Linked DNA regions of Nothobranchius furzeri. The protein of the gene in region 1 purifies or fractionates together with the protein of each later gene. This does not show direct contact. Links are inferred from orthologs where the notes say so. Each region holds a gene or a part of one and is shown on either strand. Other genes may lie near its edges.

Region 1 (4,207 bases):
CGTTGCTGGCCTCAGCAGCTGCCCGTGCTGGAGTCATGGAGCCACCATTTGGCACTCCCTGGACATCTGCTGCCTCTCGGCACTCAGGGCCTCCCTGCACAAGGCTTCTCGGGTGACAACCGTGCTGCTGTGTTCCTGCGACCGGCTCCTCTAGAGAGCAAAGCTGTCCTCTGACCGCGGGTGAGCTGCCACCGGGTGACACCTTGGTGACACCGAGCACTTCCTGGGTGGCTGCTGAGATGACCTCAGTGATGAGTCCAGCTGCCAGGAGCTCCAGATTCGGCTCTTCTTGAGTGCTGCTCTTGATACGGATGTCCTCTGAGGTCACCAGCATGCTGGTGGGATCCTGGACTGTGAAGGTGAGAGAAGTGGGTGTACTGGTTAGTATCAGTTTGTGTACATCCGCTGACAGACACGTCTCCAGAGAGTCTGCCTCTGATGGGAGGACCCTTGGTGTTTTGGCTAGGGTAAGTGCACAAACAATCTCATCTTGAGTGTTAACAGAGCTCTGATGCATAGCAACTTCACCCTCTGGCTCTGGTCTTTCTGCACCAGAGAGGCGTGTCACAGAGGACGAACGGGTGACTTTGGTAGCACGGTGAGACGTGATGGCGTCCTCGCTCGAGGCCCCCGGAGCCACCTCTGAATGAAACTCCCCGTCTGAAACTATTAAGAAGTCCCTTCCAGGGGGTTTCAACGAACTTCCTGTCACATCTTCCTCATGTGATGGCGAAGTGGGACCTGTGGGTGTAAAGATGTCCTCTGCTATTAGTCTGCCACTCAGTGGGTCAGGATCATCAGAACTTTGAACCAGGGAATGTGCTGCTTCAACATCCTGGGTGTGGATGGGAGAAAGTATTTCATGTGGTGTTCTCTGGTGGTTTAGACTCGGAGGTCCGTAGAAGTCCACTTCACGTGGAGGTGTGGCAGTCCCGTTTTCATCCACGCCGTTTCTACCCTCCAGGTGAGATGTGTCCGCGCTCGGGGGCCCCTCTGAACTTTCATCGCTGATTAGACGCTCTTTCTTACGCGAGGCGTACCACCACCAGCCGATGAGTGCGAGTACACCGGGCAGCGTGTAGGGAACCACGGAGCGGAACCTCAGCAGCATGTTCTCAAGAGATCAGGGGGCACACCTGAAATTAAAAACAGGGACAGATGAGCAGAGAAAGGCGTCACAAAGACTTTCTGGTAACAGAAACCACCTAGGTGGCAAACCTACAGCCAGGTCAGCAAACAGGTCTCCCCGGCGACCCGAGGGACTCGCTGGAGCTCCGTAGCAGAGTCTTAATGCTCAGACATCTGACAGACTAGCCCACATCGTCGGTCTGACTGCTGCTCGTAGAGAAGTGACATTAGCTGATTTTTACATCAGTTATTTCAGGATAAAATCGACTTTAACTGTCTTCCTGACCAACTTTGACTAAACTTTAGCTTCAGAAACTAAAGTACTTCTTGTTTGGAGTATCCCACACCACTCACCTGGGACAGCAGCGTTCACTCTAAGGTGTTAGAAAACATGCAACACGTGTCTGCTGGATTGTGAACTTGGCTAGGAACGTGCACAGCCCTAACACACACCATTACACCCTGAACCCAAGTGAAAGTGACGCACGCTGGTCTTGGACGTCTGCATGACCCTGGGTGGTTCTCACCCGACTGTGGCACAGAGAACCGTTAAGGTCATCGTGCGTGCGTGTGCGTGTGTGTGTGTGTGGAAACACGTCCCTGCCAGGTCCTTTCCTGCGGACTGACACGCAGACTCGCTCTCAGAAGCCACCTCTGTAGGTGCCTTCCTCTCACGTAGGACACAGCCTACATGTATGAGACTCCCAGCAGCGACTTAGCTTCACGGCTAGCTGACGCTAAAGAACAGTCCGTCTGTTTGAACATAATCCTGCTGGCCTCGGGTCGTCTTACTAGATTGACGGAAAACGTGAAGTTTTCAGGAATTTTAGGGACAGCTCGTTAATCCCACCGGGACAGCTGGCTCGTTCACTCACCAGAGGATAAGTTGTATGAAATCTGTCCTCGCGCTTTACTTAATAACGTCAGGCCCTACTAACGAGAGGATCTACGTGACACACGTTGACTAAATATTGGACATTTTTGTTTTGCTTTACCAACTGAGAGCCGGGCTAGGCCGCAGCGGCGCCGTGGAGGACACGTGTGTTGGGTCGAAGCGGGTTAAAGGACGTTCTGCTGCGAGCGGGCCTCAGCCCTGCTGCTAGCTTACTGACCTGCGATGCTAACACCGCAGCCAACGGCGCTGACTGGCCGACAGCCGACACTTCTACTGGGATATAAAAGCTCTGGTGTGCTTGTTACGGTGATCGTTCGCATCCGTGCCCGCTGAGGACACGTACATGCGGCTGCTTGAATGACACCACAGGGGCAGACCTGGCTGCACAGCCCAAAACTGGGCAAAAGTGCTCGTTCAATGACACGATGGCATTGAACGAGCACTTACTTTCAGTGCACACACCTGATACATCCTAAGCGTGCCCAGAAATGTCAATGGTGTGTATTTAGTCGGAGATGAAAGGCTGTCTGCTTAGAGAACGCCAAAAGTCGGTGGCACAAGGGTGCATGCTAGTCTGGGAGATCGCGCTGTTTCATTTACCTTCTTCTGCGCCGCCACGACGACTTCGAGCCAGGAAGGAAAAGCTTTTCAACAAAAGTCCTGTACAAAGTCAAACTCCTCTCTCCACGTGCTGATCGACCCACGCAGGTCTATAAAAACACACAACTACTACTTCTTCATCCTCTTCTTCTTTTAGGTTTTTAACTTAACTCAAAGGTGCGGTGTCGCCCCTGGTGGGCAGAAGTGGGACTTTTTTTAAACAAAGCAACATAAAATAGAAGAAGAAGAAAATATAATTTCTATAGCGCCTCTCAAGATAAAAAATCACGAGGCGCTTCACAAAAACACACAAAAAATGTAAAAGTATAAAAAAGCATTTAGAAAATGTTTAAAAATATATTTAAAATGAGCAAAAATAGGTAATTGGGATTTAAAAGAAAAAATGTTAAGAAAGAGAGAGAGTGAACAGGAAGGAGGGAAACCAGTGGATCCTGAGGAAGGTGGAATAGGTGGAGAGAGCAGAATAAAGAGAGAGGTGAGGAAGGTCATACAAAAGCCAGCTTGAACAAGTGAGTCTTCAGCTGCTTTTTAAAGGAGACCACTGAGTCCACTGATCTCAGGCTCAGGGGGAGAGAGGTCCAGAGTCTGGGGGCCAAAGCAGCAGATGATCTGTCACCTTTGACCTTTAGCCTGGTGCTGCACAACCAGTAGGCTTTGGTCACTGGACCTCAGGGACCTGCTGGGGGTGTAGGGACTAAGAAGATCACCAATGTAAGATGGTGCTTGTCCATGTAAGGCCCTATAGACCAGAACCAGGATCTTGAAATGAACCCTGAAGTTGACTGGCAGCCAGTGAAGCTGGAGGAGAAGCGGGGTGATGTGGGTGTGTTTGGAGGACTTGGTCAGAAGCCGAGCACAGGCATTCTGAACCACCTGTAGACGGTTCAGGGAGGTTCTGCTCAGACACGTGAAAAGAGAGTTACAGTAGTCTAAGCGTGAGGAGATGAAGGTGTGGAGGACTGTCTCAAGTTCAGAGCGGGACAGAATGGGACTCAGCTTAGCAACGTTCCTGAGATGGAAGAAGGAAGAGCCAACAAGAGAACTGACATGAGAATCCAGGGTGAGAGCTGGGTCAAAGGTCACGCCAAGATTCCTGACAGAGGGTTTGGTGTGGGAAGCAAGCTGACCAAGAGAGTCTCTGACTTTGGGAAGCAGCTTGTCTGGGGCACAGATGAGGATCTCAGTCTTATCTTCATTCAGCTGAAGAAAGCTCCCAGCCATCCAGGTTTTGATAGAGTCTAAGCAGGTGTGTAACAGCTGCAGCTTAGACATCTCATGGGGCTTAAAGGAGATGTACAGTTGGATGTCATCTGCATAAAGATGGTAGGAGATTCCTTTGAAGGAGCTCAGGATGTGCTGAAGAGGAAGCAGATAGAGGGGGAAGAGTAGAGGCCCCAGCACAGAACCTTGTGGGACACCATGGGTAAGAGAGGTGGTGGAGGACCTAAACTTGGAGACGGCCACAGAAAAGGAGCGCTCAGAGAGATAAGAGGAGAACCACTCCAGAGCAGATCCTGATAGGCCTACCCAGTCTCTCAGCCTCTCCAGTAGCAGGTGATGGTC
Region 2 (4,046 bases), on another chromosome or scaffold:
CAAACATCTGCTTGTTGCATCTTTATTTAATTTGAAGAGCTGCCACTTTTGCCTAACGTTGACAGTCATTTGGCATGGTTTTACAGCACCTGAGATCAAATGTGGAAAAGAATATAGCTGGTTAATTGGTTGTGCTGTAAAAAATGTGGCTTCAGAGTCAAAGTGATGAGGATGCTATGAGATCTATTTATAGATTTGATTTATTTTTTCCTACCAACACAAGCTTACGTTAAATCAAAGGGGCATTCTAATGCAAATCTGCGAATCGGAGCTTTTGATGATGCTGATGATAAAAGGACCCCTGGTCCGCTGCTCTCTAGTCCAGCTGCTGCGGGGTGATGAAGATGAAACACCAGTTTTTAAAATCTTGTTTATTTGTGTTCATTTCTCACAGAATAGCCTGCGAAATGTTTAGATGTCTTTGCTGCCACACTGCGCCGCGCGTGCGTTAAATTCTGACCAACATTTCTAAAAATAGACTCACGGTTGACGTCACTCAGCCAAACGTGTAACAGTCGCTCAGCAGCGGGAAAGAGCGAAGTAGAGGAGGAGGGTATTTATGTCAATCACTGGTGACAGCCAATGGGCGTCCTCGTGTTCGCTGAGATTCCCACGGTCCGTCCGTATCTAGCCAATAGAAGGGCCGGATCACAAAAAGTGGGCGGAGTCGTTGTCGGGAGGAAAATATTCTGTGACGTTGCCCTCATTCGCGTTGTGTTGGGCGGTGGGAAGCTGCTGTTGTTGATTGACGGCTGCAGTTGGCCAATCACAGTAAACTGTTGGTCACCGCTCTGATAAAGTGGCCAATCATCGACGTAAGCACGAGCTGTCATTCAACGCTGGTTTAAGCAAGTAGGCGGGACGTTCGCTCCGCTGTAGTTCCGTCATCTCGCTGGTCTCCGAGGCTACGGGGGCCCGATGTTGATTTGGGTGAATACCTGTCGTTGTCGGACCCCGCTGAGGCTAAAATTTTGCTAAGCTGGTTTTATTGACAACAAGCGAGACGCTTTCGATTGAGAACATTGCTCCCTCTCCGCTGGTATTGTTGTTTTTATAGGCTGGGAGAGGTGGTGGAGAGCCGGGGAGGGGAGCTCCGTTCGGCGGGGGCTGCAAGGAGGGTCAGGTGGAGACTGTATCCTCCGTGTCCAGGCCAGCTGCCTCCGAGCTCAACCCTGAAGCTCCGGCGAAGCCCCAGCTCAACGTGGATTTAAATCCGATGCTGGCCAGCGGCTGCGGGTGACCGTGGGAGGGAGCGAACCCGCTTATCTAACGTGGCGCCGCATTAGCAGCTGTCAGGCTACTAAAGAGCAAGACCTCGGAGTGAACGCTCCGTGCTGCTGCTGGATTCAGGAAAACACCGTCCAGATCGAGATTTGACCGACTTGAGGAGGCTGCAGGGCGGCCGGAACGCCGCGGATTGCCTGTTGACAGGTTGTCATCATGGGCAACGCGCCCACGGCAAGAAAGGGCAGCGAGATGGAAAGCGGTGGGTATCCTGATCCGTTACATCCTCACGAGATGATCAGAGACAACGTGACACGGCAGGCGATGTTAGCTTTACAAAACCTGCAACACAGCGGCCTTTCCTCACGATGCTTTCATTTAATACCATCCACATGATGTCCTCCTTACAAGCGAATTAGGATGTTATTTGACATGAACCCCATACCAGCAGCGATGGCTGCAAGTTCTTCATCATTTCAAATATGTTATTGAGATCTCTAAATAAAACTCAAGATTTCCTGCTACAGGGCATTTAACTGAGGATGCAAAGCTAGAATTAACTGCAAAACAACCACTCTTAAGCTGCAGTAATATTGGCATCCTCACTTCCTCTTGTACTCGGATCTTGGCAAGACTGCAACAAACTATGTGTCAGATATTTCCTGAACACTCTGTGCCTGTTGCTCTTTGGAGGGATGTATTGTCAAGACTTCTTGCAAACATGGGGGGGGGGGGGGGGGGGGGCATTTAGTGTTGATTGGCTAAGGGATATAATTTGGTCTATCAAATAAACAAAAGTATGGAAGCCTACTGATGAGAAAGCGATGGCAATCAAAGCGATTGTGTTTTATAAATCTACATTTTAGGTTGACATTACGTGACTTTTCATTAAGAACCACAACCTTTGTACCTCAGGGCGCAGTAAAAACAACCTGCACATTGGAAACATGAAAAATATACATTCTTCAATATGAAGCGTGAATATTTTGGCTCAGAATCGCTGCTTTGGATGTTATTCTTGTGTGTTGTTGTGCTGTAAGTTTTACTCACGTTTACAGCAATCCTGTTACTAAATAAAACTGGATTTACTTTGACTAATTTGATAGACGATGTGTGGGGCTGGGAAAAAGTATTTACCTCTTTACAGATTTCTACAGTCTTTGCTTTTGGGGTCAAATTTAGATGTTTCAGACTCTGCTAATTTCAGTATCTGATTTAATTCATCAAGGTGGGGGGAAATTGTCTGGCTCTATGTGAAAATAGCCTGCAGCCAGCCGCATGCTTCCTTATGGGAAGTTCTCTGTGTAGAATTAAACAGAGGATGAGTCTGGCAGGCCAGGCTAATGTGAAAACTGTTTAATTGGGGATAACACCTTTGGTGACAACAGCTGATGCAGCTTTAAGGTCAAAGGCTACAAACTCCTTCAAGATTTTCTGATAGAATTCATGTTTGCATCCGTTGCAGCAAGTGGTCCAGGTGCTGAAGCAGCGAAGCCCTAAACATCACACTACCACCACCATGGTTGACCATGATGCTCTTTCACTGACATTTAATTTTACACCAGATTTAATGGGTTGCACACCTTCCATAAAGTTTGAATTTCATTTGGTCAGTCCACAAAATATTTTGCCAAAAGCCCGGGAGATCATGATGCCTTTGGCAAATGTGAGATGGGTCTTAGTTGTGTTCTTTTTTTAATCTGCTGAGGTTCTGGCCTTGGAACTATAAACATGAATACTTAGATGACCCATTGGGCTCTGGGGAGTGTAACAGCGTGCATTCAGGCTTCCAACACAAAATAATGGACACCACCAGTGTTGTTGAGTACTAAAAGAACTTCAACAAAAGAACTTACCAAGTATTCTGTGCACCTAAATAATAGTGACACACACCCCCATCGACAGTTGCCACATACAACCTGAAAAACATTACAAATAAGATGTAGAAACGCCAGGAAAAGTGACACCGGTCAATTTAGGCAGAAATGTTGAAATTTTTAACGACATAACAATTGATAACAACAATAAACAACTACTCGGTTCTGTAAAAAAAAAAAACAGAACATATAAATGAGAAAAAAATAAAGCTGAAAACTACTTCCTGGTAGCACTGGACATCTTAAAATTTGTGATCTTGGGTCCTCTGAAACCTACCAGCTCGCAGCTCAGAATTCTGAGTTTAATGCGTCATTTCCGGTTAACTTACCTCAGAAAAACGAGTTCTGACGACAACTGGAACGCACCACTAATCTCCATTTTCAGTCAATGGGGCTAAAAAAGCTATTTTTTAATCTGCTTTGCCTGACGCCCTGAATTGCACACATGTTGCACTTCAATTTAAATGAAAAGTAAAGATGTGTGTTTCGATCACACCTGTCAAATTTTGAAACGTATGAGTTTGTAAAAATTTGTAATTACAATTACAAATCGGACGTCCCCCCCCCCCCCCCCCCCCCCCGTGTAGCTGCTATTTACCACATGGCAAGATTCATGGTTGTTCTTTCCTACTGAAAGAAGGATTCGAAGCTCCCTTAACCATTTTTCCTATCCTCTTCTATAATGGCCTCCATTTAAAATGATAGCGCAGCCGCGATGTGGCGCGTCTGTCTCCGGTGTGCCCTAAGCTTTAGACACCATAAAGACAGCACCAATCCAAGGGGGGCCTACATATGGTATGTCTGTTGGGTTATAAGCTTGACTCTCCGAAAGTCCAGTTAGAATTGACAAAGTTCATCGGATGAGAAGCGAAACATCTTCAAGAAACCAAAGAAGTCCAGTTGCCTTCATTTGAACTCTCATAATGCAATTTTTTTTTCAGCTTT

The links. The genes of interacting proteins can lie anywhere in the genome.
Region 2: the proteins of akap1b (region 1) and prkacab purify together in Homo sapiens (affinity purification with mass spectrometry; 8 studies listed by BioGRID and IntAct, with this or other methods). This does not show direct contact. The link is inferred for Nothobranchius furzeri from reciprocal best matches to the Homo sapiens genes AKAP1 and PRKACA.

The regions. Positions count from the first base shown.
Region 1 is NC_091753.1:61,600,039-61,604,245, reverse strand, and holds the start of akap1b (A kinase (PRKA) anchor protein 1b), read right to left. Parts: upstream 2,802-4,207; 5' UTR 2,624-2,801; intron 1,336-2,623; exon of another isoform or gene 1,223-1,335; intron 1,137-1,222; 5' UTR 1,112-1,136; coding exon 1-1,111.
Region 2 is NC_091744.1:6,143,513-6,147,558, reverse strand, and holds the start of prkacab (cAMP-dependent protein kinase catalytic subunit alpha), read left to right. Parts: upstream 1-1,216; 5' UTR 1,217-1,440; coding exon 1,441-1,486; intron 1,487-4,046.